Linked DNA regions of Callithrix jacchus. The protein of the gene in region 2 interacts with the protein of the main gene of each other region in a pairwise test. Links are inferred from orthologs where the notes say so. Each region holds a gene or a part of one and is shown on either strand. Other genes may lie near its edges. The genes, in order: SNTG2, DTNB, CEP63, BEGAIN, ZBTB9, DMD and SPZ1.

Evidence for each region.
Region 1: the proteins of DTNB (region 2) and SNTG2 interact in binary tests that used the Homo sapiens proteins (3 or more experiments, as listed by UniProt). The link is inferred for Callithrix jacchus from reciprocal best matches to the Homo sapiens genes DTNB and SNTG2.
Region 3: the proteins of DTNB (region 2) and CEP63 interact in binary tests that used the Homo sapiens proteins (3 or more experiments, as listed by UniProt). The two-hybrid records come from large-scale screens. The link is inferred for Callithrix jacchus from reciprocal best matches to the Homo sapiens genes DTNB and CEP63.
Region 4: the proteins of DTNB (region 2) and BEGAIN interact in binary tests that used the Homo sapiens proteins (3 or more experiments, as listed by UniProt). The two-hybrid records come from large-scale screens. The link is inferred for Callithrix jacchus from reciprocal best matches to the Homo sapiens genes DTNB and BEGAIN.
Region 5: the proteins of DTNB (region 2) and ZBTB9 interact in binary tests that used the Homo sapiens proteins (3 or more experiments, as listed by UniProt). The two-hybrid records come from large-scale screens. The link is inferred for Callithrix jacchus from reciprocal best matches to the Homo sapiens genes DTNB and ZBTB9.
Region 6: the proteins of DTNB (region 2) and DMD interact in binary tests that used the Homo sapiens proteins (3 or more experiments, as listed by UniProt). The link is inferred for Callithrix jacchus from reciprocal best matches to the Homo sapiens genes DTNB and DMD.
Region 7: the proteins of DTNB (region 2) and SPZ1 interact in binary tests that used the Homo sapiens proteins (3 or more experiments, as listed by UniProt). The two-hybrid records come from large-scale screens. The link is inferred for Callithrix jacchus from reciprocal best matches to the Homo sapiens genes DTNB and SPZ1.

What each region holds. Positions count from the first base shown.
Region 1 is NC_133515.1:114,023,030-114,027,457, reverse strand, and holds the start of SNTG2 (gamma-2-syntrophin), read left to right. Parts: upstream 1-1,341; 5' UTR 1,342-1,434; coding exon 1,435-1,506; intron 1,507-4,428. UniProt on the Homo sapiens protein: Adapter protein that binds to and probably organizes the subcellular localization of a variety of proteins. May link various receptors to the actin cytoskeleton and the dystrophin glycoprotein complex.
Region 2 is NC_133515.1:89,527,305-89,531,778, forward strand, and holds the start of DTNB (dystrobrevin beta), read left to right. Parts: upstream 1-1,453; 5' UTR 1,454-1,500; intron 1,501-4,474.
Region 3 is NC_133518.1:49,699,437-49,703,872, reverse strand, and holds the start of CEP63 (centrosomal protein of 63 kDa), read left to right. Parts: upstream 1-1,607; 5' UTR 1,608-1,734; coding exon 1,735-2,051; intron 2,052-2,093; exon of another isoform or gene 2,094-2,330; coding exon of another isoform or gene 2,331-2,487; intron 2,488-3,641; coding exon of another isoform or gene 3,642-3,712; intron 3,713-4,436. UniProt on the Homo sapiens protein: Required for normal spindle assembly.
Region 4 is NC_133509.1:135,437,791-135,440,880, reverse strand, and holds the end of BEGAIN (brain-enriched guanylate kinase-associated protein), read left to right. Parts: intron 1-230; coding exon 231-1,577; 3' UTR 1,578-2,396; downstream 2,397-3,090. UniProt on the Homo sapiens protein: May sustain the structure of the postsynaptic density (PSD).
Region 5 is NC_133505.1:41,686,651-41,691,191, forward strand, and holds the start of ZBTB9 (zinc finger and BTB domain-containing protein 9), read left to right. Parts: upstream 1-1,672; 5' UTR 1,673-1,811; exon of another isoform or gene 1,812-1,926; intron 1,927-2,102; 5' UTR 2,103-2,174; coding exon 2,175-3,599; 3' UTR 3,600-4,541. UniProt on the Homo sapiens protein: May be involved in transcriptional regulation.
Region 6 is NC_133524.1:34,128,462-34,132,769, reverse strand, and holds the start of DMD (dystrophin), read left to right. Parts: upstream 1-1,253; 5' UTR 1,254-1,495; coding exon of another isoform or gene 1,496-1,526; intron 1,527-4,308. UniProt on the Homo sapiens protein: Anchors the extracellular matrix to the cytoskeleton via F-actin. Ligand for dystroglycan.
Region 7 is NC_133503.1:130,655,792-130,659,515, forward strand, and holds SPZ1 (spermatogenic leucine zipper protein 1), read right to left. Parts: upstream 2,200-3,724; 5' UTR 1,952-2,199; coding exon 812-1,951; 3' UTR 642-811; downstream 1-641. UniProt on the Homo sapiens protein: Transcription factor that binds to the DNA sequence 5'-CANNTG-3'(E box) and the G-box motif. May play an important role in the regulation of cell proliferation and differentiation during spermatogenesis.

The DNA.
Region 1 (4,428 bases), about 24 Mb from region 2:
ACAATTAGCTGGGCATGGTGGCGCGTGCCTGTAATCCCAGCTACTCAGGAGGCTGAGGCAGGAGAATTGCCTGAACCCAGGAGACGGAGGTTGCGGTGAGCCGAGATCACGCCATTGCACTCCAGCCTGGGTAACAAGAGCGAAACTCCGTCTCAAAAAGAAAAAGAAAACACTGCGTTTGGCTCCGGTAAAGGTGGTGCTGAGAAGCCCTGAGATCCCCCGCAGGCCGCCCTGGAACCCAGAGATGGGGGGATGGGGGGGCGCCCGGGTCCGAAACCCAGGTCTGCCGGCGGCCAAGCGAGTCGGAGTCAGAAAAAGGAAAGCGTTTCACAGCGATTTTTCAACGTTTATTTGTTCACTCAAGTTCTGCTCCTAGAGGGCGAACCTCCTCCAAAGGCCTCAGACTTCGCGGCTTTTGCTGCCTCGGAGCGGGAGGGACAGGGGCGTCCGGGTCTCCGAGACGCGCCCGCGCCCAGGCCTGGCCTGGAGGACGGAGGGGGTTGGAAAGGAGGAAAAGGGGCGCCAGCTTCTTTCTAAAAATGTAGGTGGCCTGTGCGCCCCTCACTGCCCCGCCCCACGGGAATTTACCCTAAACTTACTTCATTTACATTAACATAGGCCGATTTGAGTCTGGGAACCCCGTGCGGGCGTCGGGGAGGCTCCTCTGGGCGCAAAGCTGAGTGAACGGGGGACCCGCGTCTCCGCCGCAGCCGAGATCGGGGTCCCCGCAGGGTTCGCGAGACGCCGCGCCCCGGAGGCGGGACGGGGCCGCGGACCTTTGGGGCGATGGAGGGAGAAGGACGACGGGAGCGGCGCTGGGGGAAGGGGAGGACTCCCTGTCTTTTCTTCGGGCCGGGCAGTCCTCGGGGTCCTCCGGGCTCCCCCATTGCTGGGGAGACGCCGGAGGAAGGTCTGAGGGCTGCGGCCGGCGAAGGTGTGGGGACCCCAGAGGGCTGGGGGCGCCCGGGGACCCCGAGGCTGCGGTTGGAAACGTCCCCGAGGAGAAGCTGAGGACCTTGGGCCGGGGCGGGGGCGGCGGGGAGGGGTCGCCAGGCCGGTCCAGAGCGCGCCCACCTGCGCCTCAAAGGAGCGCCGGGGCCTGGAACGCGGACCTGGGTACCCAGCCCGGGAGAAGCGCGTGTTCCGCCTCCAGCCCCGCCGGCCCCTCGAAGGTCCCTCCGACCCCAGGGAACGCCCCGTGCCCCCAGACGCCGCCCTTCCCCGCGAGCCGCGCGCCCGGCACCCCGACTCCGGCTACGCCGCGCCCCTCCCTCGCCCGGGGCGGGACTTCGTGGGCGGAGCTCCCGGTTCCCAGTCCCGCGCCCCAGGCCACGGACGCGCGCGAAACCCGAGCCGGAGCCTGCAGAGGGGCTCGGACGCGGCGCCCGGCGGGACTCTGGAGGCTCGCGTGGGGTCCTGGCGCTGAGCTGGGCGATGAGCATCGAGGGACTCCCGCTTCCCGCCGCCCCCCGCGGACGCCCGGGCTGCCTGCTGGTGCCTGTGCCGGTGAGTATGGTCCCTCCCGCCCCCGCCCCTTCCTTCTCCCTCCGCGCCCCTCGGCCTCCCCGCGCCCCTTCCCTCCCTCCAGGGGCGGCTGCCCGTTGGGAGGGCTCCGGAGTCCGGGACGCCGCGGTCAGCCAGGACCCCCTGGACCCCCGCCCCGCGCTCCGCCCTCTCCTGCGCGGCGTCTCAGCGGGAAACTTGTGGGGTTTGCGCCTGGACCCTCTGGAAAGGCTTGTTCCGAGGCGCGGGGCTCCCCTTCACTGCGTCAAGTGGCGCTTTCCGGAGTTTGGGGTTTCCGACTGGGCGCCGCGTTTCTTCCAGGGGCAGCTCTGGTGGGCCCCGCGGAGCGCGCGGACCGAGCGTCCCCCCTGCAGCCTCGGGCGCCCGGGCTGGTGCGACTCGGCCTGGGGGAGCCTGAGGGTTCGCGGCGCCGCCTCGGCCCGTGCTGGGGGTTCCCGGCCATTCCGGGGTCGCTGGGACGCCAGCTGGTCACAGAGATGTCTTTTTGGAAGTCGATTCTAGCTCCTGCCCTAAATAACTCCCTCTCCACCTTCTTATTTTTAAATTAACTATTGATTGACAGAAAACAAACGTTGGCTCAAAGAAAAACGAAAAGTTGTTGGAAGCTTTCAAGTTCCCACAGCACAGCCCCGATTCTGAACACGGTTTCGGGGGGCACGTGGCCGCCCAGTCCCGGGAAGCCGCCGACGGGATCCCCTCCCTGCGAGCTCCCAGCCCCAGGAGCGACCAGGAGTACACTTAGCTCCCCTTTGTAGGGCCCCGGAGACGGCTCGGAAGGCCACAGGTTGGGGCTGCTGCAAACTCCTGTCCTCATGGCAATGATTCTAAACTGCGACCGTGGTCCCAGCCACTCTGTTCCGTGTGGACATAGATGCATCTGCATTCAAGCCATACCTTTCTGGGCTTTTACACAACATGTGAAAATGAAATTTCATGTAAAAGCGGGTGTTTATTTCTTGAAGTACTTTGCAATATGAGTATCTATCCCACGGTGGCCCAGGGTCATCCAACCCGAGGAGATATGCGGGGATTACCTGGGAAGCGACTGCAGGAGGAGCTGCGGCCTCCCCGGAATCCCAGGCTCTCCACTGCTTTCAGCGTTAAAGCGATGCCCTCCCATGGTTAGGGATTGTGCATTTTTCTCGAGACTTTCTTGCAACAAGTCTTGCTTTTAATCATTGCAGATATAGCGGAAGCTTTGAAGTGGAGGCATCACACTTCATAATTGACCCACTTGAGGGATTATTGGCGATAACTTCTACACGTGCATCAACTGCGCGTATTCTAGTAAATGGTCTCCTTTGTGCTCAGTGTTAATTAAGGTGCTCAATTTGGTGTTTTCAAGGGCGGCCTCCACTCACCTGTTTGCTACAAGATGTGATTGGTGCATTCTTTGTAATAACGGCCTCGATTATTGAAAACAGCCTATCCGAACTGAATGGAAAGAAACGTTTTTTCAGCGTTCGAGGCCAAATGCTACAAGATGGAGCATTTTAAGAGCAAGACTCCTAACTTTGCAGTCATAAACACTTAGGTGTGCTCTAAAGCTGCCCTAGACACAGGTGCTGGGTAATGTCAGCCCAGAATCTTACTTGTTTAAAAGGAAACTGTTCAGTGTTGGTTTTGGCAGGTTTGTCTTCAAAACACGAATGTTCTCAGCTTGCAGCGTCATCCTTGCTTAATGCCAGAGACAGCTGGGCAGAATTATCCATTTTCTTGCCATAACTGCATAATATTCAAATTGTGTAATTACTTCAGTTAAGAGAACTTGGTGCTTTTACGTAGAAAAAGATGACAAAACATCTTTTCTAGATCTTATATTTCTTTTTTTTTTTTTTTTTTGAGACGGAGTTTCGCTCTTGTTACCCAGGCTGGAGTGCAATGGCGTGATCTCGGCTCACCGCAACCTCTGCCTCCTGGGTTCAGGCAATTATCCTGCCTCAGCCTCCCGAGTAGCTGGGATTACAGGCACGCGCCACCATGCCCAGCTAATTTTTTGTATCTTTAGTAGAGACGGGGTTTCACCATGTTGACCAGGATGGTCTCGATTTCTTGACCTCATGATCCACCCACCTCGGCCTCCCAAAGTGCTGGGATTACAGGCTTGAGCCACCGCGCCCAGCCTAAATCTTATATTTTTTCTGTCTGAAGTCAAAAACATAACACATTCTTTATCATGACTGCTTGTTTGAATCATGGAATTTAGCCAGATTTGAAGGTCTCCTGTTCAGTAGCAGAAGTGTTTTGTTTCCTCTTTAAAGCGCCTGTCCCCCATGCCTTTTTCTAGGTTAGGTCAGTTCATGGAGCTCTGTCTCTGACCATACCTGGATTTTTGGGTAAAATCCCACTGGCAGAGAACCATCAATACAGTGTGCTAAGGGTGTCTTGCTTGTAGCTTCAAACATGACTATTGATTGGTGTTTACAGCACATTCACTGCTTTTGAATGACAACACGTCTTCAGTCTGGGCTGCTGGAAGAATCATTGGCGTGAGCTAGGAACATGCCCATTTATATGATGAACGGAAAGGCGAGGCTACGTTAGGTGGTTTTCAAGGTGCATTTGGTAAGGGCATCACTTAACCATCTGTTCACAGATAGGAATTGCTGCATGAGAGAAATGAAGCGTCTGACCTGGAAGGTTACCCATCCCTTCGCTGCCTTGGGTGTGTTTCTCATCTTTGCTGACTCATCTGTAATTTCAGTTGTAGAATTTCTGTTGATGTGTGTGACATCATAAGCAAAATTCATGCATTATAAAGCAGCAGTTACCCAGTTTTACCAGGAGACATGTTTCCCCACTAACTATTTTAATGAGATCCAATTAAGAAAAGTGTGCTTTTTTTTTTTTTCCAAATATGGGATGTTAAAATTGCCTTGTTTTCTGAATGGTGTATGTAGAGCA
Region 2 (4,474 bases):
CTGGGCATGGTGGTGCATGCCTGTAATCCCAGCTGCTTGGGAGGCTGAAGCAGGAGAATCACTTGAACCTGGGAGGCGGAGGTTGCAGCGAGCCAAGACTATGCCTCTGCACTCCAGCTCGGGCAACAGAGCAAGACTCATCTCAAAAATAAATAAATACATAAAAATAAAAAATAAAGCAGCTGAGCCTCCCTTCCCTCACCCACGACCATGCAGGGGCACCCTGGACGTATTTCAGACCTTGCACGCCGAGCCGGCGGAATGGTCTCTACTTCTATCCCAGCTAGTTTCCAGCGCCCTTTGCACTCTTTGTACAGCCAGAAACCCTTCAAATGATTAACTTTAACAAATGGGAGAAGCTCAGTGCTCCTCGACCCTGGCTACGCATTATATCACTTGGGGTCACTTAAAAAAATTCAGCCCAGGTGCAGTGGCTCATGCCTGGTCCTAGTGCTTTGGGAGGCTGAGGCCAGAGGATCTCCTGAGCCTAAGAGTTTGAGGCTGCAATGAGCAAGACTCTGTCTCTTAAAAAAAATTAGTTCCGCCAGGCGTGATGGCTCACGCCTAGAATCTCAGCGCTTTGGGAGACTGAGGCAGGTGGATCACGAGGTCAAGAGATCGAGACCATCCTGGTCTCGATCCAGGGTTTCACATGGTAAAACCCTGTCTCTACTAAAAATACAAAAATGAGCCGGGCATGGTGGCATTAGCCTGTAGTTCCAGCTACTCAGGAGGCTGAGGCAGGAGAATTTCTTGAACCCAGGAGGCGGAGGTTGCTGGGAGCTGAGATCGCGCCATTGCACTCCAGCCTGGGTAACAGGCTGGAAAAAAAAGATTAGTTCATCTAGATGAATTTTGGGTGCAGGTATATTTTCTCAAAAGCATACCAGGTGACAGGTATGTGAGAACAGCTTGAATTACCCTTGAGCCAGTTTAGAATGTTTTGTCAACATAGAATTTGTTGACATTTTCAGGTGTTTGACAACACTACATAAATAAACAAGCCTTTGATAAACTAACAAAACCTGTAGGACACTCTTCCTCGGACACTCTAGCCTCTGGATTGCCTTCTTGGGGTAATTCTTGGGATCTTTTGGGGTGCCATCAAGCCTCCTGCCTCGTGAGCTTTGCATGGTATGGCAGAATGATAGCTAATCACCCCTGTAATCCCAGCACCTGGAAAATATGACAGAAGTCTCGCTAGCTATCCAAGCCAGTCCAAATTTCAGCTTGACACCTAAGGACAGTTTTATTGAAGAATACAACTGCTGTTCCCGAGATAAATCTTAGAAAGCTTTGTCTTGAAAGGTTTTTCATGCAATTTGTCACAGGCTCTCATAATCCACAGGATGATACAGAGAGTAAAGATCAACACCACCATTAGCGCTGCCTCTCTTCCCCGCCCTCCGAATCCCACTCAGAGGTGTTCGAGCTGGTTTTCTGTGCCAGCTTCATTCCACATTTGGCCAAGACCGAGGACTCAGGCTTCAGCCTCTGGGGGTAAGGATTTCCACATTGTTATTTGCCATGCAAAATAGCAGTTCCTATTCATTTCTTCCAAATCTGCCTCTGTCAACACAGATGGCGCGCTACCCCGTACTGCTGGGACTGTGAGATTCGGCAACATTGTCTGTGTCCTGACTGTGCGGACCTTTGGCAGCCAAGCTATCACCATCCCCTGAAGGATGGATTTTGGTTTTTGTTTGCCTCCTGTGAAGGACCTTCTTTCTGCTAATCATTTGAATTACTCTCTCCTGGACCCCTTCCAGTCCTATCACGCCATCTGTAAATGGCAGAGAACAGAACGAGACACACATTATGGTGTCAATGTATAATAATTTGATACAAAGATGCGATTATGATGTTTTGTTTTGAGTATTGCTATCTGCACGTTCTTGGTTTTTTTGGTGGGATGGGGGTGGAGGTGGGAGAAGGAAGCTAGAAGCCAGAGCAGGCTGGACAGTGGATTTTATTTACAACTTTAAGGAATGGTTTTCAGGTTCATTAAATTGTTTTCCTTCAGCTGTTATTACCTTCCTCCTGCTCACACTGACACTCGGAGGGCAGGTGTCTGCCCTCCCACGCAGCTCGCTCACATCCTTCTGTAGCCTCCTCCCTGCCACTCTCAGCTCACTCACTACCTGGCACATGACCTTGGCGATTCCACCACGCATCTCTTCCCCAGATCATTTATCACTATGGTAATTAAGACTTGGATGTTCAGACTGTGGAATGAAAATAGAACAGGTTCTAGCACAGATTTTAAAAAATATTTTTCTTCCTGCCTCCAAAAAAGTACATGTTCATTTAAGACAGTTTGAAAATACAAACAAATGCAAAGAAAATTAAAATAATTCTTAATCCTATTACCCAGAGATAACTTCTTCAAATATTTTGGTTTATATTCATCCAGTCTTATTCAAGGAACACAGTAAACACACACTTTTTCCCTTTATCTTTGATAAATATTATATTTGATATATTCAAAGAATATATGTAACATTACACTCCCCCCACAAGAATCAAAACATTATAAACAATGGCAGTAATTGTCATTTACCTAAGTGCACCCCTTAGTCTCCCACTTCCTCTCATGGGGTGGGAGTATCATTCCCTTGCCTTATTTTTTTTCCCCTTGCCTTATTAAAGTAATTTTAGAAATTGTTTGTGTTTATTTGATTTTCAGCTTTGTAAAAATGGTAACATGCTATGAGTCATATGTTTCCTGCTTTTTTCACGAAGAAAAATGTTGGTTCAATTTATCCATGCTGTGTTATGCAAATGTTCTTTTATTTTTGCTGCTGTTTAATATTTCCACTGTGGAGATATACACATTTATACATTCATTTTTCTCTTGCTGGCCATTTGGATTGTTTTCATAAGTCTCAAGAACAGGCTGGGAGTGGTGGCTCATGCCTGTAATCCCAGCACTTTGGGAGGCTAAGGCAGGCAGATTGCCTGAGCTCATGAGTTCGAGACCAGCCTGGGCAACATGGTGAAACCCTGTCTCTATGACATACAAAAATTAGTTGGGCGTGCTCATGCACGCTTGTGATCCCAGCTACCCTGGATGCTGAGGCATGAGAATTGCTTGAACCTGGGAGGCAGAGGTTGCAGTGAGCCAAGATTATGCCACTTCACTCCAGCCTGGGTGACAGAGCGAGACTCTGCCTCCAAAAAAAAAAAGTACTAAGGACAGTGCAGTGATTGCACATTCCCCTTGGTGCATGCATGAAGAGTATCTTTGGGGTTGAATAGCTGGATATAAGGTAGGTAGAATTTCAACCTGTTAAATATTGGCAAAATGGTTGTACCAATTTATACTCTCACCATTACTGTATAGGAGTTTCCAATTGATTAGCCTTTTTTCCAACATTTGGAATTGTGAAACTTTAAAACTTGCCATGCTAGTAGGTGTACAACGTTGTAGTATTAATTTGCATTTTCCTGAATGCGAATGAAATGGAGGATCTTTTTCTATGTTTATTGACCATGTGTTTTCTCTTCCATAGAATGCTTGCTCCTTTTTCTATTGTGTTGTCTCCCACATTTTTTTTACTTTGAGTCAGAGTCTTGCTCTGTTGCCCAGGCTGGAGTGCCATGATGGATCTCAGCTCACCGCAACCTCCGCCTTTGGGTTTCAAGCAATTCTCCTACCTCAGCCTCCCAAGTAGCTGGGACTACAGGCATGCACCACCACGCCCAGCTAATTCTTAGCTTTTTTTTTGTATTTTTAGTAGAAACAGGGTTTTACCATGTTGGCCAGGCTGCTGTGGAACTCCTGACCTCAGGTGATTCAACTGACTCAGCCTCCCAAATTGCTGGGATTACAGGCATGAGCCACGATGCCTGGTCTCTCAAACATATTTTAAACAAAATTTGAGCCATACTACATATACCATTTTATATCATCTAAAACGTTCTTTTACAGTGTTATTTTAGTGATTTGGGACTCTTCTATCTCATAATTTAATCAGAGCTCTGTAAGTATTTTTTTAAATTTTGGTTTTGAGAAATAACTCTGGTAAGATATTCTATTGCATACATTTAATTACACATAACTGAATGTTTTAATAAAATAAGTTCTAAGAATTGAGATTTCTGAGCCTGGGAAACATGGTGAAACCCTGTCTCTACAAAAAAATACAAAAATTAGCTGGGCATAGAGGCATGTACCTGTAGTCTCAGCTGCTCGGGAGGCTCAGGTGGGAAGATTACCTGAGCCTGGGGAGGTCCAGGTTGCAGTGAGATATGATTGCGCCACTGCACTCCAGCCTGGATTACAGAGCAAGACCCTGTCTCAAAACAAAACAACAACAAAAAAAACACAACAAAAAAACCCAATCATATATCTTGGTAATGACTATGTATCAGTCAGTAAAGATCTTCTGAATTTCTTTTGACAGCCTCCTAATACCCCATTGTATTTAAGAACCATAGTGTAGTCAATCAATCTTTTACGTTTGGGTGTTTA
Region 3 (4,436 bases), on a different chromosome or scaffold from region 2:
TGGCACCAAAGATATTCTCAGTTTCTGAGACTATGGAGATTCACAGAAGAAGCAATTTTGGGGAAGCAGGGTGGAACCCACCACCTGGAGGTACTTTTTTCAGAGCTCGGCCTGGATGCTCTTTTAAGGAATAAAGCCATTTCCTTTACAAGCTCAACTTCAGACATTGCCTTGCCTTGAGGATTTGTACAACTCTGGTCTGTAGTTGGTCCCTTCGTATACTCCACCTCAGTGTCATCTCAGTATGTTCATGAGCTCCTGTGCTTAGGAATGCTGAGGTTTGGGCCAAAGCAGGTGGAAGCTTTTGTAAAAATGGCTCACAGACGTCCCCCATAGGGTAACTGCAAGGTATTCCTACTCCTTGGCAAAAATTATACACAGATTGGTATGGGCAAGGGTTCTTACCCCCATGATAAGGATCTGGGCAAAAGTTAAGCAAAATGTGTCTTGCTACTTCTATCACCGGTGAGCCAGGTGAGGTCTTAATTAATCCAGTACTCAATAATTAACCCAGTACTACCCAGTGGATAACTCAAAGCAAGACGAAGTTTTGGTTATACTTTCGTAGTCCCCGTCTTACAAGAGCTCCCCACTTTTGTGCTGCTACTCCTTCGTCCTTGCTGCTCTGTCCCCTGGGATACCCTTCTCACTTTCCTCAGCTGATCCAAACATTTCCCCAGGCCCACACAGATTTTCCACCTTTTAATACAATTTTCTCAAATCACTTGAGCTTCATAGGCCTTCTATCCTTGAACTCCTGTTTCTTGTCCTAACTTAATCTACTAAACAAGCTAGGTCAGCTTTGTGATAACTGCTCAGGTATTATTGTCTCCAACTGTTAAGGGTACATTTTTTACCCATGATTTCTTAGATCTTTCCACAGTTTGGCCTCAATCTTTGTCACCTGTCCCTTCACCAAACACCTCCAACCATGTCACATTTTCCAGCCTTGGCAATTAAAATCCCCTTTTCCACATCACTAATGCTACTCTTCCTTTCAAGATTAAAGCAGGCGTCAGCTCTTGAAGATCAACATCCCATTTCCAGGGTTAGATGCAAAGGTGCCTTCACTCATAAGGGACCGGAAGGATCGGAAGCATCAAGACAATCAATGCCCAGGGCACAGTCACCGTCCCAAGTACTCGTCACACAGCACGACCACTGTTTCCTGAACAAACTTTTCTTACGTTACAGTCCCAATGCTTGCAATGTTCTTTTTTTCTCTTCCTTTTTATTCCAGTGAACCTCTAAAAATCTTAGGTCCCAGGGAGCTTCCTGTAGGAGGCCGCCTCCAAACCCCAGGCTGAGCGCGGTCCTAGTACCTACCCCTCCAAGGATCGCACAGTTCCCTGAGCACACAGCAGGGCACCAACTGGGGAGTTTGTCACACAGCCCAGATGTATTTCTTTCCAGACACGCGGTGCCAGCGTTTCCCAGGACAGAAGAATGTCTTAACAATCTCTATGTATTATATATATATAGCTTCGTAAACATGTATTTATTGAAGTCAAGGCTGGAAAGCCTTGTTCCTCGCTAGAAATGAGCCTCGCAGGCCACCACCGTCAGCGCCGTACGTGAAGCCGCCCGTCAGCTGCGGCTTCCGGCCTAAGGCAGGAGGTGCCAAACGTGGAAGCGCGGATGGGGAAGTCTGGAGGCGCCACCCAATTCCCTTTCCTCCCGACACAACGTGCAGTAAGGGAAATAGTTATGAGTTTAAAGTGACGACCTCAGCCGATGGGAATACGGGAAAGTCCGACACTGAGAAACGAACGCATTTCTGCGCCCCCAAGACCTAGACCAGGGTCGCTGGAAACCCTTACCAGCATCCAGCACACAGCAGCTGGCGCTTCCTCCGGCCACGCCCTCAGCATCACTAGTCCCCACGCTCTTCCCTCGGATTCCCGGATGTGGGTGAGTCCATTTGCTTGCGGGCCGGGGAAGTCTGAAGGAGAGTTTCAATTAAAAGTGTGGGGGCAGTGGGCGGGACGAACGCGCCGACAGAGGCTGGTAGTATGCTCGGCGGTGGCGCGCGTGCGCTGCGCCGGCCTGAGGTAACGGCGGGAAAAGTTCGGGGGCGCGCTTGTCGCAGCTTTGTAACCGCTTGTGCGCACGTCGGACGGGCAAGGGGCGGGCGTGCCCTGGTCTGGAGGCGGCCCATGCTGCCGTGGTGACCCTGGCTTCGTGGCCTCATAGCTTGCGGCTGGTTCCCGCCACAGCCTGCGAGTCACCAGGCGCGTCCCAGCCGGCTCGGGTCAGCCTCCGAGACCCGCCCCTCGACCTTACCTGCTGCGCCACGCAGACCAGCGGAGTCGGGCTTGGCGCTGTCGGGCATGGCGCCGTCCGGCGCGCGGGTTCGGCTCTGCCAGGTGGTCAGCCCTTCCGCGGAGACCGGGCGGTGGGGGTCACCTCGGAGGGTGGCCAGGGGGGCCGGCGTGCTGCGGCCAGGACTCACTTTGCCCGGCGGACCCACCATCCCTTTCAGCGCAGGTACCCCAGCGCCGCCTCCCTGCCGGGGCTGCTGTGTAGCTAACGCTGTTGGGACTACTTCATTCATCTCACAGGGGACCTGCTCATTCACTTGAAGACAGTACATCTAGGCTTATAATGTGGTTTTTCTTATGTCCCTTACGACATCAGGAAGATGAGTGCGATGTCAGATACTAGTCATCTTTTATACTTTCAGCACCGTACACTAATATGCATAAAATAGTTTTCCCTGAGCCTTATGTCCGATTAAACTGATTAAAAGAATTTTTTCCTTTGAAGAAGCAGTATTGTAGGGTAGGAACGCGTATTTATACGGTTCCTCATGTGTTAGCTTTTATTAGACAAGAAGAAATCATAAGGATCATTAATTAGATTTCTGTTAGTTGTAGCTTAATGATATACTAAAGTGTGTATATTATTTGGAATGCAGTATGATTTGTAGATCGATCTTGCCTTTTGACTGTAGTTATCAGTGATCAGGTAGTAAAAAAAGGCTCTGAAATTAAAATGAGGTAGAGATTTATAAACAAGCGCACTGCCTTTTAAAATATATGTAGATTCAAATCTAAAAGCTGTAAAAATTAATGTTGATTGTACTGATGCCATTTCCTCTCGTTAAAAGGTGAAAGACCTTTTCTTAGTTTTTTCTGTTCTCATTTATGTTGTGCTGGCAGATGGTGACAGCATCAGTAGTCGACTCTGTCATAGCTTCCTGCTTTCAAAAAATGTCTACTTGACTTGAAATTCAGCTAAAGCCAACATTGACATAAGGTTTCAGGAACTGAATCTCTGATCTCTATGTTATTTTAGCCCCCCCCCAGCTAGGTTTTTTTCAGTTTTACAAAGCCACAATACTGTCATTAAACGTATACAAATTAATAAAAATTCCCTAATGTCAATATCTAGTTAGATTCCGAATTCTTCAACTCTCTCCTAAATGTCTTCTTACAGTTAGCTTGTTTGAACCAAAATCCCACGTCTGCCTGTTACCTTTGGGTGATACACATTTGACATTTTTTAATCAATAACAGTTCCCACATAGCTATAGCTATAGGACTGGCCCTTATTTTTCCTTGCAGTTCTAAATTTAGCAGATTGCATTGCACAGTATCTTTTAACACGTATCTGTGTTGCCTTTATGTCCTCTAAACCAGGGTTTCCCGACCCCGGGGCCGCAGAGCACTACGGTCCGTGGCCTGTTAAGAACCTGGCTATAGAGCAGGAGGTGAGTGGCAGGAGAGTGAGCATCACCTACCACCTGAGCCCTGCCTCCTGTCAGATCAGCCATGAGGTTAGATTCTCCTAGAAGCACACCCCTATTGTGAATTACGCAGGCGAGGAATCTAGGTTGCACGCTCCTTATAAGAATCACTAACTATTGGGAGGCTGAGGCGGGTGGATCACGAGGTCAAGAGATCATCGAGACCATCCTGGTCAACATGGTGAAACCCCGTCTCTACTAAAAACACACACAAAAAAATTAGCTGGGCATGGTGGTGCGTGCCTGTAATCCCAGCTACTCAGGAGGCTGAGGCAGGAGAATTGCCTGAACCCAGGAGGCGGAGGTTGTGGTGAGCCGAGATCGCGCCATTGTACTCCAGCCTGGGTAACAAGAGCGAAACTCTGTCTCCAAAAAAAAAAAAAAAGAATCACTAACTAATGCCTAATGCTCTGAGGTGGAACAGTTTCATCCTGAAACCATGTCCCTAACCATGTCCATGTGTATTATTCATATTAGTCAAGAAGTGGTTTGGCCATTTCCCCCAAACAACATTTCATATGAATTTTCACAAAAAAAAAAAAGACAAAATATGTTATTTTCACCCTGTCGGTGGAAAAATTCTTCATGAAACAGGCCCCTGGTGCCAAAAAGGTTGAGGACCACTGCTCTAAACCAGTAGTTAGATGTAGAATTGCACTGTCCAGTATTTTAGCCACTAGCCAGCTGT
Region 4 (3,090 bases), on a different chromosome or scaffold from region 2:
GACCCGGGATCCCCAGGCCATCACAGCACCCACACCCCTGGGAGCTTATTCAGTTCAGCCTCCAGGGTCCCGCTCCCCCGGGTGTGATATGAGAAGCTGGGAGGCCCTGTTCATCTGTCTGCCTGCCTGTCAGTCATGGCTAACGTCAGTCTCCAGCTTTGGGGCCAGGACTGGGCCACCATGCTGACAGTGACCCTGTCCCCGCCCCCTACTCCTCGCGCCCGTTCCAGCTGCCCTCGGACTTCCAGGAGCGCGTGAGCCTGCACATGGAGAAGCATGGCTGCAGCCTGCCCTCCCCCGTCTGCCACCCGGCCTATGCCGACAGCGTCCCCACCTGCGTCATCGCCAAGGTGCTAGAGAAGCCTGACCCTGCCAGCCTGTCCTCCCGCCTGTCCGATGCGTCGGCCCGAGACCTGGCCTTCTGCGACGGAGTGGAGAAACCAGGCCCGCGGCCCCCCTACAAGGGAGACATCTACTGCAGCGACACAGCCCTCTACTGCCCAGAAGAGCGGCGGCGCGACCGGCGGCCCAGCGTGGACGCACCCGTGACCGACGTGGGCTTCCTGCGGGCCCAGAACTCCACCGACAGCGCGGCTGAGGAGGAGGAGGAGGCCGAGGCAGCGGCCTTCCCGGCGGGCTTCCAGCACGAGGCCTTCCCTGGCTACGCGGGCTCACTGCCCACATCCAGCTCCTACTCCAGCTTCAGTGCCACGTCGGAGGAGAAGGAGCACGCGCAGGCCAGCACGCTGACCGCGTCCCAGCAGGCCATCTACCTGAACAGCCGTGATGAGCTCTTCGACCGCAAGCCACCCTCCGCCACCTACGAGGGCAGCCCTCGCTTTGCCAAGGCCACGGCCGCGGTGGCAGCCCCGCTGGAGGCCGAGGTGGCCCCAGGCTTTGGGCGGACCATGTCACCGTACCCGGCTGAGACCTTCCGATTCCCGGCCTCTCCGGGTCCCCAGCAGGCCCTGATGCCCCCAAACCTGTGGAGCCTACGGGCCAAGCCGGGGACTGCCCGGCTCTCCGGGGAGGACATGCGGGGCCAGTGGCGACCCCTGAGCGTGGAGGACATCGGCGCCTACTCCTACCCGGTTAGCGCCGCTGGCCGTGCCTCACCCTGCAGCTTCTCTGAACGCTACTACGGTGGGGCCGGGGGCAGCCCGGGCAAGAAGGCCGACGGCCGCACCAGCCCACTCTATGCCAGCTACAAGGCCGACAGCTTCTCCGAGGGGGACGACCTCTCCCAGGGCCACCTGGCAGAGCCCTGCTTCCTGCGGGCGGGTGGGGACCTGAGCCTCAGCCCCGGCCGCTCTGCTGACCCACTGCCAGGCTACACACCCAGTGAGGGGGGTGACGGGGACAGGCTTGGGGTGCAGCTGTGTGGGGCCACCAGCAGCCCTGAGCCCGAGCAGGGCTCCAGGGACTCCTTGGAGCCAAGCTCCATGGAGGCCTCCCCGGAAATGCACCCCGCCGCCCGCCTCAGCCCCCAGCAGGCCTTCCCGAGGACTGGTAGCTCGGGGCTGAGCCGCAAGGACAGCCTCACCAAGGCCCAGCTCTATGGAACCTTGCTCAACTGAGCGCCACGTGCAGGCCTGGCTGTGGGCCTCTCCCCGCCAGCCCATGGCGCCCCAAGGGGCCGGCCTCACCCCCCAGCCCCTGCTGTTCCCCCGCCCCTGCCAACAACCAGGCGTCTGTTCCTCCCCGTACCTCCTCTCCTCCCCAACCCCATAGGCCCGAGGAGGATCCCCCCGCACTGCGGTGTCCACCAGCCCCGCCCCATGGAGCTCCACTTAGAACGTTTTTCACACTCGTCCTTCCCCCATCTGAGAGGGGCATCCCCCCTTTTATAAAGCGAAACTATTTTTATAGAGAAAAAGGGTCTTTCTAACGCACTTGGCCTCCAGCTCCCTGGACGGCTGCCTTGGCGTTTTCAACACAAAGCTCCTTTATTTTTGGGTGAGGGTGCGTGGGGCCTGCCCCTTGGAAGGGAAGGGAAGGGAAGGACCGTGTCCTATGGAGACTGGACTCTGCAAGTGGGGAGAACACCCCCACAAGCCAGTGACAAGGAAACCCAGAAGTTGTGTCCACGAAGAGGGAGCTGAAACGAATTTGGGGCTATGAAGTGTTTTAAAAATCATTTTTCGCAGTGTGGCCACCGCGCCGCCCTGAGCCCCCCCCACGGCCCATAGTCCCGGGTGGGCGGGGATGATGTCCCGGTGCGGCTGGCGCTCATCCCGCCCCCACGTCCATCCCTGACACCGTCTTACTCTACCTCAGACATGATGAGGCCCTCCACTCCCGGTTTCTGTAGCTTGCGTTCCTGTTGTCTCTGATGCATGCCCTGTCAGTTACTATTGTATTTTGCATTCATTAATAAAAGACACTGGTGGAAAGAATCTAGATTGGGCTATTTCTCCTCCTCCTGCCTTTTGGTCTTGGGAACTTGGAGTCCCTGGTGTCCCCACCCTCAGCCTTGCTCTCTGCAGCCAAGTTGGGCCCCTTAACCCCACGTCACACCCCGTCCCCACCCTAGTATCCAATTTCCTATCTAGGGTGCGGATTCCCCTGCCTTTCCCAGCCCACTGGACATGACCGTTCTTTCCTCTGATCTCACACTCCTGTGCGCTGCCCACGGATTTCCTGGCCTCTAATCCTCACGTCTCAGACCGCTTCTCCTTGAGAGGTACTCAGGCTGCGGACAGAATGTCAGCCAGCGGCTTTTCCTTGGCACACGGGAGCTGCCACTCTGCTCTGGCTTCCTGTTGGTACTGGGAACTGGCTGTCAGGCTGGGAGCCGATCCTTTGGTTGGAAAAAAAAATTGCTTTCTCTTCCCCAGCTCTTTAAGATTTTCTCTTTGACTCTGGCGTTCTGCGGTTTCCCTGAGGTGTGTCTGGGTGTGGACTTCCTTCTTAGGAATCTTCTTAGGATTCTCAGGGAGTCTGACACGTGTGGATTGGTGTACTTCACCAGTTCTGAAAAATTCTCAACCATTATTTTTTAAAAACATTTCTCTGCGCATTCTGTTTTCTCCCTGCGGGTCTGTTTCTCAGAACTATGCTACCTCAAGCCTGAGGCGGCCCCATCACCCC
Region 5 (4,541 bases), on a different chromosome or scaffold from region 2:
GACTCTGTCCCCTGGGGGAGGTAGGACAGGGCTGGGCTTCCCTCTCATCCTCCCCCTCCCAATCTCCTTCCACCTCACTCCCTCCCGCCAGCTCCACAATTTTTCGGTGTTTCTCTGTACATAGTTCTCTGGCGGGATAGGGGAGGTAGGATGGATGGGGTTTGGGGTGGGTAGGCCATGGGAGGGGAGAGGCCCCTCCTTGGCACCCCCTCTTCCCTGACTGCTGTCCCCTACCCAGCCTTGCCCCCTTCATCCCTTTTTGCGTTTGGTATTGAGACTCTCCTAGACTCTACCCCTCTTTCTTTTGTATGGACAGTTCCCCTTCAGTCCCATCCCCTACACATACACCCAGCCGGGGCCAAATTTATACTTATATAAAACTTGTAAATATGTGAAATTTTATCCCTGTGCCCTTTCCCCATCTCAGGCCCTACCCCTGGACCCTCCCCAACCTTCCTTCTCTCTTTGGCTGTTGTAATTATCTGGGGTTTGTACTGTACATATCCGGGGTGTGTGTGTGTGGGCTGGGGGCAACCCTTCTGTACAGAGCTTCCTGGCCCCCTCCCCCCCGCCCCTCTGCTTCCCTCCCCACCCACCACCTTAAGGGTAGGGAGATGCTCTTCCTACCTGTTTTATTTTGTTTTCTCGTTCTCCCTCCCCATCCCCCTCCCAGCCTTATCTATCCTTCCTCACTGTCCCCTTTTCTCCACTCCCAGCCCCATTTCCTTTTTTTCTGGAGTGTGTGGTGAAACAGAAAAAACATGTTTAATAAACGGAGATTGTTCTTTTATCGCTGTGCTGACTTTCTGAGGTAGGGCCTTCCAGACAGACCTTTAGGGTGGTAAAATCTGCTTTCTGAAAGGAAGCTGACAGCCTGGGAGAAAAACTATATCCCCACCTGATGCCACACTCACCTCATAGACTGTCACTCTCCCCTCCCAACGAGATTTTTTATATTTTAGAGCAGGAGTTTTGCACTGGCCGAACTCCAGTCTAACTCTCCTCTCACTACTGCTTCACTTAGTCCAAGGCCAGGAACGGCGGCGTTATCTTATAAAAGAGTTATGTATATATCCACATTTATTTCTTTTAAAAATTACCTAGAAATTAGGTTTCTTTAATAGCTGGTTAAAATGCTCCCGTGCAGAATAAAGAACCCGGTTCTTCAGCAAATCCAGGTTCCAGTCCCAGGTCCACTACTATTAGCTAAGTGACGCTTTCAGTCCGTTTCCCCCGCCTGGAAACTGAGGACGGCAACCTCTACCCTCGCAGGGCCGGTGGGAGGACCAAGGTGACGTGGGCAAGTGCTGGGCCCACAAGGTAAGTGCTCAACTAATCTCGCTCCTCTCAGGACCTACCGGGGGCAGGCGTTACACTTAATCACCGGGAAACGCAGCTTTCCGGGGGCGGCTGACGGCCCGCCCCCTCCGACCGGGATGTCCTCCCCCGGGCCCTGGCTCTCGGTTTTCTGCGGCGGCGAGGACTTCCGCAACTACACAGGACGCCCGTTCCGCCGGCGCTCTGGGCCAGCGGCCTCCTCCTAGCACCGCCCTCCTCGTCTGCGGTAGCCAATCGACACGGGGCTTCTAGGCTGCTATTCCTCGATTGGCTAGGGCTCTAGCTCCGCCTGCCGCACTCGGCGTCGGCGTCCGGCCCGGAGGCCGTGGCTTCCGGCCTGGGATGGTGATGTAGCCGCACGGTACCTGTGAGGGCAGCGCCGCGTGTGTAACTGCGGGGGCGTGTCGGCGGAAGGACACCAGGGCCGAGACTCGCGGTGTCCGGTGACCGCGTCTTCCCGGGAGCCAGCCTCTGTGAGCACTCTGAGGCGGAACGGCAGGGCAGGAGCTGTTCTGGGCGGGCGAAAGCAGGCTCGTGGCTGAAGGACCTCCTTCTCATCTTTCACTGGGGCTGCAAATTGAAACCCCGGTTGGTGTTTTGTTGCTGTTGTGGTTTGTTTGCTTTCTTGGTGTGCGGGACTGATTTGCAGAAACCGCCACTGACGAAAAGTTTCCAATTATTGCTGGTGGGGGGAGGGGGTTGTTTGAGGAGATGTGGCTCCCCCTATCAAGGGCTTCTGTGACCTCTGTGTCTTTCCTCTACAGCCTTCATCCCGCGTGGAGTCCACCCCCAGGCCCCCTCTCCTCTTTCCAATCCTTCTCACCTTCGAGGAGGCCATGGAAACCCCGACGCCTTTGCCCCCTGTACCCACCTCCCCGATCTGCAACCCAGCCCCGCGGACAATCCAGATCGAGTTCCCGCAGCATAGCTCTTCGCTGCTGGAATCTCTGAACCGCCACAGGCTAGAGGGAAAGTTCTGTGATGTGTCCCTCCTGGTGCAGGGTCGGGAACTTAGAGCTCACAAAGCAGTGTTGGCTGCTGCTTCTCCTTACTTCCATGACAAGCTGCTTCTAGGGGATGCGCCTCGTCTCACTCTGCCGAGTGTCATTGAAGCCGATGCCTTCGAGGGGCTACTCCAGCTCATTTATTCAGGGCGTCTCCGCCTACCACTGGATGCTCTCCCTGCTCATCTCCTTGTGGCCAGTGGCCTTCAAATGTGGCAAGTAGTAGATCAGTGCTCAGAGATTCTTAGAGAATTAGAAACTTCAGGTGGTGGAATTTCAGCCCGTGGAGCAACCTCCTACCATGCAGTTCTTTCCACTGCATCCTCTACAGGAGGCTGGTGCATTCGCTCTTCCCCTTTCCAGACCCCAGTGCAGTCCTCTGCTTCCACTGAAAGCCCTGCTTCCACCGAGAGCCCTGTGGGAGGGGAGGGAAGTGAACTGGGAGAAGTGCTGCAAATTCAGGTGGAAGAAGAAGAGGAGGAGGAGGAAGAAGATGATGAAGAGGACCAGGGGTCAGCCACACTCACTCAGACTCCTCAGCCCCAGAGAGTATCAGGGGTTTTTCCCCATCCTCATGGACCCCACCCACTGCCCATGACTGCTACTCCCCGAAAGCTTCCAGAGGGGGAGAGTGCACCACTTGAGCTTCCTGCCCCTCCTACTGCACTACCCCCAAAAATCTGCTACATTAAGCAGGAACCCTTTGAGCCTAAGGAGGAGGTATCAGGTGGTGGAACTCAGCCTGGAGGAGCAAAGGAAGAGACCAAAGTGTTTTCTGGAGGGGACACTGAAGGGAATGGGGAGCTAGGGTTCTTGTTGCCTTCAGGGGCAGGGCCAACATCTGGTGGAGGGGGTCCATCCTGGAAACCAGTGGATCTTCATGGGAATGAAATCCTATCAGGGGGCGGAGGACCTGGGGGAGCAGGCCAGGCTGTGCATGGGCCTGTGAAGCTAGGGGGGACACCCCCTGCAGATGGAAAACGCTTTGGTTGCCTGTGTGGAAAGCGGTTTGCGGTGAAGCCAAAGCGTGACCGGCACATCATGCTGACCTTCAGCCTTCGGCCTTTTGGCTGTGGCATCTGCAACAAGCGCTTCAAGCTGAAGCACCATCTAACAGAGCACATGAAGACACATGCTGGAGCCCTGCATGCGTGTCCCCACTGTGGCCGTCGGTTCAGAGTCCATGCCTGTTTTCTCCGCCACCGGGACCTATGCAAGGGCCAGGGTTGGGCCACTGCCCACTGGACTTACAAGTGACTGCTGAGGCTATACACTAGCTTCTAGGACAAGATAACCACTGCTGCCAATGGATACTTACCCCTCATTACCATGGCACACCAGTCATGGATCTTGTAATCAAGCCAAGAGAATAGATACATTATGGCCCTGTTCTTAGATAAGGGCCTCTCAGCCTGGCAGATGTGGAAACTCAAATTTCTCATCTCACCCTGGGTTTCGGTTAGGGAACCCTGCAGGAAATTGGTTTATAGGCCATTCATACTCAAGTTGATCACTTGCCCATGGTCGACCTTTTTGTAGTGGTGATGTCCATTAAGGAAGCCAGATTTTCGATTATTTAGTGAGAGAAGAGTTAGGGCAAAAGAGTGGTAAATGTTTTATTCAGTCTCCATGAGGAATTAAAGGAGTTGGTCTTGAATTAGAGATACATTTGATTCAGAGCTTGAGTAATTCAGAGGCTAAGCTCTAAGCTTTTTTTCCCTTATTGCTGGAATCATTTAAGCAGAGTTCCTTTTGTGTACTTTTAAAATTGTGTCTTTTGAGGAGCCCCTCACGTTGTACCTTGCTTTCTTACCAGTAGACACCTTCCCACCACTTTTTTAATGTTGTAGTTGAGCCCTTCAACAAGTTGAGCATTCCATGTTTCATTCCTAGAACCTTCTTTAATAGAGGGTATTCCCTCAACAGCCTGTGCCTCTGGTCTGCCTTTGACCACCACTGATAACTCGTATTTGTCACAGTGACTGAACTGTCACCAGTGAACTCAGGAGATGGCACTGTCCTAAAGTGCTTTCAGGGTGGCACCACTTCTCTCTGAACAAGTTGCCTTGGTCAGAGGGACTCAGGTTTCAGACAGCACAAGCTGAAGGCTGGAGAGTAACTTGTATAGTAGGACCATACCCCTTCCTTTCCCATCTCACCCACGTATGATAGCCCCTTCATTGAGAGATGGAGGGGATA
Region 6 (4,308 bases), on a different chromosome or scaffold from region 2:
TAAATCTATTTTGAAAGAAGTAAATTAAATACAATTACCTTAAAATTAGGCCTTATGTTTTAGTTCATATACATTTTGCTGGGGAAATAGCAGTTATGACAATAATATTCTAAAACACAAAATGAATAATTAACTATTAAGGTAAACATCACAGTCTGACTCAATATGTTTTTTTTATTTTTATCTGTTACTCATTTCTGCGGCAAGCAGTTGAATGTTTGACATAGAAAAATGAGTCTGTCACTTTAAAAAATGGTACAATAAAAACACTCAAACAAAAATTTTAGTAGGGATTATTATAACTGTAAAAGGAATATCTTTCTAAAAAATATTACCAGTGTTTCCTATCAATTTTGGGCTCGCCTGTTGCATAAAAGTAATAAGGAAGAAGACAAAGTGGACTTCTATTGGCAAAGAATGATTTACATGCTGAATGACACAATACAACTGTATTCATTTAATACAGGAAAAAAAAGCCTTTAATTAGAACCATTAAATGGTCATTAACTCATTGTCTAAGAAAACGGTGTTTTAAGAATTGGCACCAGAGAAATGGAAAATAGAATAATTTGGTAGTAAAGAAGTTTTATCATAATTCACAACTGAAATTTAGGATTTGAGAAAAATTTATTTACTCCATTATAAGAGTGTTCTTTATTTCAGCAGGAAAACTTGTCCCATGAGACCTACACAGACATTCTGCCTTCAGAATTCAGCTGCTGAATTCTGCTGCTGCTTTTCTTATTCAAACTGTTGGCATCATCAATACATGACTTTTGATTGGATCCCAAGGGTAAAAAATAACTTTGGTAGACAGCAGATACATAACAAATGCATAGATTATTCTGGGCATTTCTTTCTTTTGGTAGAGTGAAATTTTTGGTGTTGTTAAGAAGGGGAAAAATGCATTTAAAAGTCAATTTTGAATCAGGATTTTCTGCTCTGTTATTTTGTAAATTCACGTAACAGTTACAGAAAATATTGTTATGGTTTGGTACTGAATAGTTTTTGTGTTTAGAAGGCTTTAAAAGCAAATACTATGTCCACTGTGCTATTCTGGTTTGGATATTAATCAGAACACAGTTGAGCATTATTTGAATTCACAGAGCTTGCCATGCTGGAAGCACAACCTTATATGTAGTGACCATGGACAGTCCTATTATGGGAAACCAACTTGAGAGAGAAGGCGGGTCACTTGCTTGTGCGCAGGTCCTGGAATTTGAAATATCCAGGGGCCTCTACAGAATCCTGGCATCAGTTACTATGTTGACTCACTCAGTGTTGGGATCACTCACTTTCCCCCTACAGGACTCAGATCTTGGAGGCAATTCCCTTCAGAGAAAAACGAATAGGAAAAACTGAAGTGTTATTTTTTTAAGGCTGCTGAAGTGGATTGGTTTCTCGTTGTTTTTAAGCCTACTGAAGAAATAAAGTTTGAAGAACTTTTACCAGGTTTTTTTTTTTTAATTGCTGCCTTGATATACACTTTTCCAAAATGCTTTGGTGGGAAGAAGTAGAGGACTGTTGTAAGTACAAAGTAACTAAAAATATCTTTTACTGTGCCATAACGTTTAGTTTGTGACAAGCTCACTAATTAGGCATATTGATTTTAAGTGAGTAGTTTGCAAAGAAGCATAAATGTTATATATACTGCATATATATATATTTTTTTCAGGTATTATATTTTTCATTGGGAAAACCTTTCAACAGAAATGGAGTTTAAAAGAGTTTTTTTGTGATAGAATTAAACACATAATTTCTTGATTAAGAAACCACTGAAGTAATAGAATATGCAGAATGTCATTTGAGTATAACAGACTATTTTGATTGCTGTGAGATAGTTTGTATTTCTGAGTTATTATTTTGATTAGTTGGTACTTCTGTATTTAGTTACAGTTACATAAAGGTTACTGACCTGAGATATATTCTCAATTGAACTAATTACTGTATAGGAACTACATGGAGGCCTAAAAGTTAGGAAAAGTTTGTCTGACATATCATGGGGGAAATAAAGGATAATATGAGTTGGGATGGATAATTGGAAGATGGGAAAAGTATTGACAAGATTTAACTGTAATGTTTCTTACTCATATTTACTATTTCAAATGCTCTTTTCTGTAGTGTATTGTGATAACTTTTTCAAATAATTATTTCAAACAAATCACACAAATAATGATATGATCTATGCTCTCAAATGATCAGATGATCTCTTCTTGGGAAAACAACATACAAACTTGAGGAGATCCTAATTATATTTCATAGTAAAGTTACCATGTTGTTTCATGTCTATTATGAGCTAGCTTTTCAGTACAACTTTTTAGTCTGGCTTTCATATAGAAATGCAACTATTTTGTGTATTTTTAAGAAAGCCATGATGACTAATGAAGGATTTAAAAAGGGACCGAGGCACAACAGTAAAAATAATGTACAATAAGGATTGTGTGTCCCAGAGATGGGAGATTATCTCTTCCTCACCCATCTTTGACTTGTGGAATATAGTTATTCTAAAATAGGTATGAGGGCAATGCCTATAATTAAGAATGAAAAAATAAATCTTTCTAAATAAGTAATACTCTACAACTTCTAAAAACAAAATCAGAAGTTTGCCACTGTGAAAAATTTGTGGAAATAAGTTAACATTGTCCATGTATTGATTCACATTAAAAGCTATCAGATTTTATAATATAACAGTTAACTTATATTGTTTCCTTACTTCATAAATCTCTTTTGGTGAGCATCATTATTGCTTTCAGATTGAAAAACTGTTATACTTACTATCATTACAAAAATATGCATGGTATATATCTGTAGTTTGCAACATACACACATATTTTTTATTTGTTGTTTTTATTTCTTTGATATTTATAACATAAATACTATCAAAATCACTAGTGATTATATATATATATATATTCTACATAATTAAACTCATACACAAGTATATAATGCAATTTTGAAAGAATAGATGCAATTATGCTGGAATAAAGCAAGGTAAACCTACACTCTGTTTTGTCATAGATACTCAAATAACTCTCAATTCTTAGAATGTGAAGAAAGCTAATCATTTTGGGACATGTCCTGTAGGATTTTTTCACACTACATTTAAGAAATCATCAAGTAATGCCTATGCCACATGACAATGAATTTGTTAAGAAAAAAATAGAGATATTCTCAGGGTTATTTTATACATTAAATTTTGCTGTTTGTTAACATACTGCTATTGGGATGTTTGACATTTGAATCCAGTTTTAAAATTTGCCTTAGTTTGAAAAACTTACAAAAGTACATTTTGTTGTTTTTAACCAAATTAGCTACCCGTTAAAACAGATCACTGTATTGTCAAACACATTGAATTGTTTACTTTTAGAATTACTCAAATAATGCATTGTAAAGAATTATTCAGGCAGTGTATTGCAAACAGACATTTCATTTGAATATATTTAAATGATGTAAGTCATCTTGAAGTCTACTAAAATCGTCATTTAGAATTTCATTTGCAGAATCTTAAAGGCATTTTAACTATGAAAAAGAGATTGCTAATCTAAATTGATGATACAATGTTTAATACAAAGCTTTTGGTGTATCTTACATGGCATTAGATTATGAAAAATACATTAGAGTATGTCATATGTATGTTACTCTAAACTTTAAAAAAGACTACAAAGTGTTTCATGCATAATTACATTATTTAAGGGAAAAAAGATGTTGGTTGACACTATTCCACCTAGGCAGCACTGAATTGCAAATTCATAATTTGGGCAGAGATATTAATACAGCTTCCTCTTTAGTCCTATAGTATTCATTTGAAATCCCTGTGCTCCACGTCATTTGCTACGTAGGAAACAAATTGTCAAGTTTTTAACCACTTGTGTTGTTTAATAAAAGAGATTAAAATCATTGTCTTGGAAACATCAGGTGTTTTTCAAAATTCTATTTTATTATCTTTCATCACAATTTTATCTCAGGAGAAAAACAAAGTGACTTCACGAACTTTTCTTCTCCTTCCACCTTCTATTGTAATAATTTCCTAACTTATTGAAAATGATTTATCATACTTTTTCTTCAATTTATTCTTTATTTCATCACACATACAAGAAACACAGTATTTTGGTATGAGTATATATGTTTATATATACACACATTTATATGCATTCAATTCACAGGGTATTACATTTCCTAAGAGGTTCTAATTAGAAATTAACCCCTCTTTAAAGATAATCTTCTGTTCACTTTTCAAAATTTTCTGTTTTAAACACATCATTTTCTAAGCAATTGACAAGTGAGTCTAATGCATGTTCCCTGTTTGAC
Region 7 (3,724 bases), on a different chromosome or scaffold from region 2:
AATAATAATAATAAATAACTAAATAAAATATAGATATGTCTCTATTCTTCTAAACAAGTTGAGGGCGTCCTTCCCAAGAGCCTCTGCTGCCCAGTATGCCCACAGTTCACTAGCAGAGGAGCAACGGGGGCACATTAAGAAAAGTAGAGCCAGTGCAGATTTATAAGAGAAAAGCAATTTGTTAGGGGTGGATTATTAGCATTTTTAAAATTCCCCCACATCCCCTACTTGTAAAATAGGAAAAGGAAACATATTTAGAAAGGGAGCTATAAAAGGTCACAACTAAAGCACTATATATCTTTTTTTCACTTAATTTTTGTTGTGTTGCCCAGGCCTGTTTCAAACTCCTGGCCTCAAATGATCCTCCCACCTTGGGCTCCCAAAATGCCACTGCACCTGGCCAAAAACACTATACAGTTTTTCCCCCAGAACTCCCCGTCTCCATGAAATGATTAAATAAAGAAAAAAAAAATACTTTCCCTTGTCGTTAGGTCTTTACTTAATTTAGGTCTTTACTTAATTGGATCTTTAACTTCTCACTCTAGGCTGTCTATCTAATAATTACAAAAAAAACGAAGCAGATTATGGAGGTGAAAAGGTGAACTTGATGTAGACACAATGGTCACTTAAGACCAGACTTACATAATTGCTGAGGTAATAAGCAATATAAGTGTTCATCTTCTTATTCTGTAGCTCTTTTTTTGGTTGAACCAGCAGATCTGCCCATGGTTTGATGATTGATCATGCCTGAAGCTGGATGTATCAGATGTATTTTTTAAGGATTCACCTCTTCATCTGCTTTTGATATTTTCTATCTTACGCTGCTAACTGACCTCTTTTTTCTCATAAGAGCTTTTTTTGCAACATGAATATTGAACTGGTTATTGCAAGCTTTCTTATTAAGACAAACATCCAGGCTTCTACAGGATCTCCCCTTTTTCTGAAATGTACCCCTCATTTCTTGCTTGTTCTGCTTATACATTTCTACTTTCTCTGCTTCGGATGGCTTCTGATTTTTCTTGTCCTGTTTATAGTTTATCTGAATTGGCTTCTCTTGCAGAGTTCCCTGGTTCTGATGATGGAGTTCCTTGAGAATCTCTATTCTCTGCTGTAAGATTTGGCATTCATTCTCTAGCAAAGCTGCCACCAACTGCAATGAACGGGTGTCATGGCTCAGTTTCTTCACCTGTTCCTCCAGCTCATGCTTAGCTGATGCTTGATTATTTGTTGGGGTTTGGAAATCGACTCCATTATTTCCGAGAGTTTCACTTATGTATTTCTGAGATTTATGGTAGGATTTTATCAGTTCGCTGAGCTCGGTATGTTGTTTATTCCAGTGTTCTGCTTCCTGTAGTAACTGCTCCATGTTGTTCCTAATTTTCATAGTTTCTTCTTGAACACTAAGGAGTCTGTTTTCCTGACTTTGTTGAGTTTCATTAAGAACATTTTTTTCTTCTAAACGATTTACCAAATCTCTTGCAAAAACTTGTACTGTGTTCTCGAAGTTCTGGTTTTCCAGTATCATCTCCTGTTTCTTTTCATCCTCTTTTTTTTCTGGGTCTAAACTCACAGGCAGGTTTGTTGATAACATTTCATTGATTCTGCCAAGTCCTCTCATGTTTTCTCTGTGGGCTGACACATCCTCAGAAATACTGGTTTCCTCAAAAAGTTCTTTTGCTTCTGTGATCTTCTCTTCAAAACCTGCCATATTTTTAAGAATGTCTTTAATTTCTTTTAAGAGATTGTTAAACTGTGCAGTCTGTTGTTCTGTGACTTGATGGTTGCTATTCTTTAGGGAAGCGAGAGAGCCCCAGAAGGAAGGGGAAAGTGATCCAATTTCGAATAAGGCAATGATAATCTTAGGGTCCAGAGATTCTTGATGAGGATCAGGAGTAGGGTTAAGTGTTTCAGAGAGGGTGGGCATCTCGGCTGACTTAGCAGAGTTGGCCATCAGGACAGAAGGAAAGCGGAAAACCTTAGAGACTCCAGGAAGAACAGGTGATGGTCTTTCATGCAAATGTGGGTGGAGATTGTGGAATCAAGCAGAAGTCAGAGACCAAAGTTAAGGATTAAAACTGAGGAGATGCTGTTTAGGTGGAAGGTGGCATCTCAGACAGCCTTTCGGGGAGAAAGAGTGGGAAAGGGGACTGGAGCTGGGGCTCCATCTCTCCTCCTCTAGGCACCCGGTTTTTATTCTCTGGCCCTAGCAACCATGTCTTTATTGTGTCACTGCACCATTGTGGCCTATCCCCAGCATCTGTCTCCTTTGTGTCACAGTGGAAACCTCTCAAATTCCTGCTCAGTGACTCATGCATCAAAAGCAACCTTGGGCTACCCCTACTCCTCATGCCAGAAAGAACTCTACAACAGCTCTTCCCTCCTTAATTTCTAAATTGCTATTCATCTCAGTCTAAGTGCACTCAGTTACTTCCCTACCTCACTCCTATTCCCCCACAATCCTGACCCCAACCACAGCATGTTTTGACCACTTAAGGGCATGGCTGAGGCCAGTCCTCTCTGGTGAGGTCCCCATCCTTTCATGACACCTAGAGGCTTTATTGCTCCCATTCTAAGAGAGTTGTGACTGTAAAAGAAAGTTATCCATACAAAACAAAACCCCAGACTGCTACACCTTTTGTGATTTTAGGAAAGTAAAGCCAGAGTCCCTCCATTCAAAAAGATTCTACTGCTGCAAGAAGGGACTATCTGAATGGTTATTTATAATAGTAACACAATTACAAACTGGGGCTTTTCTTGGCTTTGAATATAGGCATTCTTCAAGACACGCTTGGCAACCTTGCTCACGAATCATTTACATCAGGTGATAGAAAACTTGAACCATTACTTTTCAGGGTAACTTATTTGGAGATTTTTTTTTTCTTTGGCTATTTTATTGATCTTCTAAGATTTTCACACTCTACACAGTAACTTGTTAAAATGACACAATTATATATCTAAAGTGTTTGATTAGCAGGGTGTTGTGATGTGTGCCTGTGGTCCTAGCTACTTGGGAGGCTGAGAAAAGAGGATTACTTGAGCCTGGGGGGTTGAGGCTGCAGTGAGCCATGACTGCTACTTAGTGCACTCCAGCTTGGGCAACACAGCAAGACTCTATCTCAAAAAATTTAAAAACTGGCCAGGTGCAGTGGCTCACACCTGTAATCCCAGCACTTTGGCCTGGAACACTTGAGGCCAGGAGTTTAGGACCGGCCTGGGCAACATGACAAAACCCCATCTCTACTAAAAATGCAAAAATTATCTGGGTGTGGCAGCACACACCTGTAATCCCAGCTACTCAGTAGGCTGAGGCATGTGAATTGCTTGAACTCAGGAGGCAGAGGCTGCAGTGAGCTGAGGTCAGGCCACTGCACTCCAACCTGAGCAACAGAGCAAGACACTGCCTCAAAAAATTAAAAACTGAAAAGCATTTAAAACAGGTAAATTCTACAATGGGTTACAGAAAAGTAACAAGTTTATTAAACTTCTTTTATTTTAATAAACTGCTTTATTGTCTTTTTGTTCTTAGGAGTCAGGTCTTGAGAATATAGAATACAATCAAAGAAAACATTTCTTACGTATGACTTTTTCCTGGCCTTCAAAATCTTGCTAGTAAGCACTTCAATAGAAAGTTGCTTCCAGTCTTAGGAAAACTTATACTCAGTTTTTTTTTTTCCCCTAGAAAAGAGAAATTCATGTGTTTTCTTTCTTCTCCAGTTACCAACTC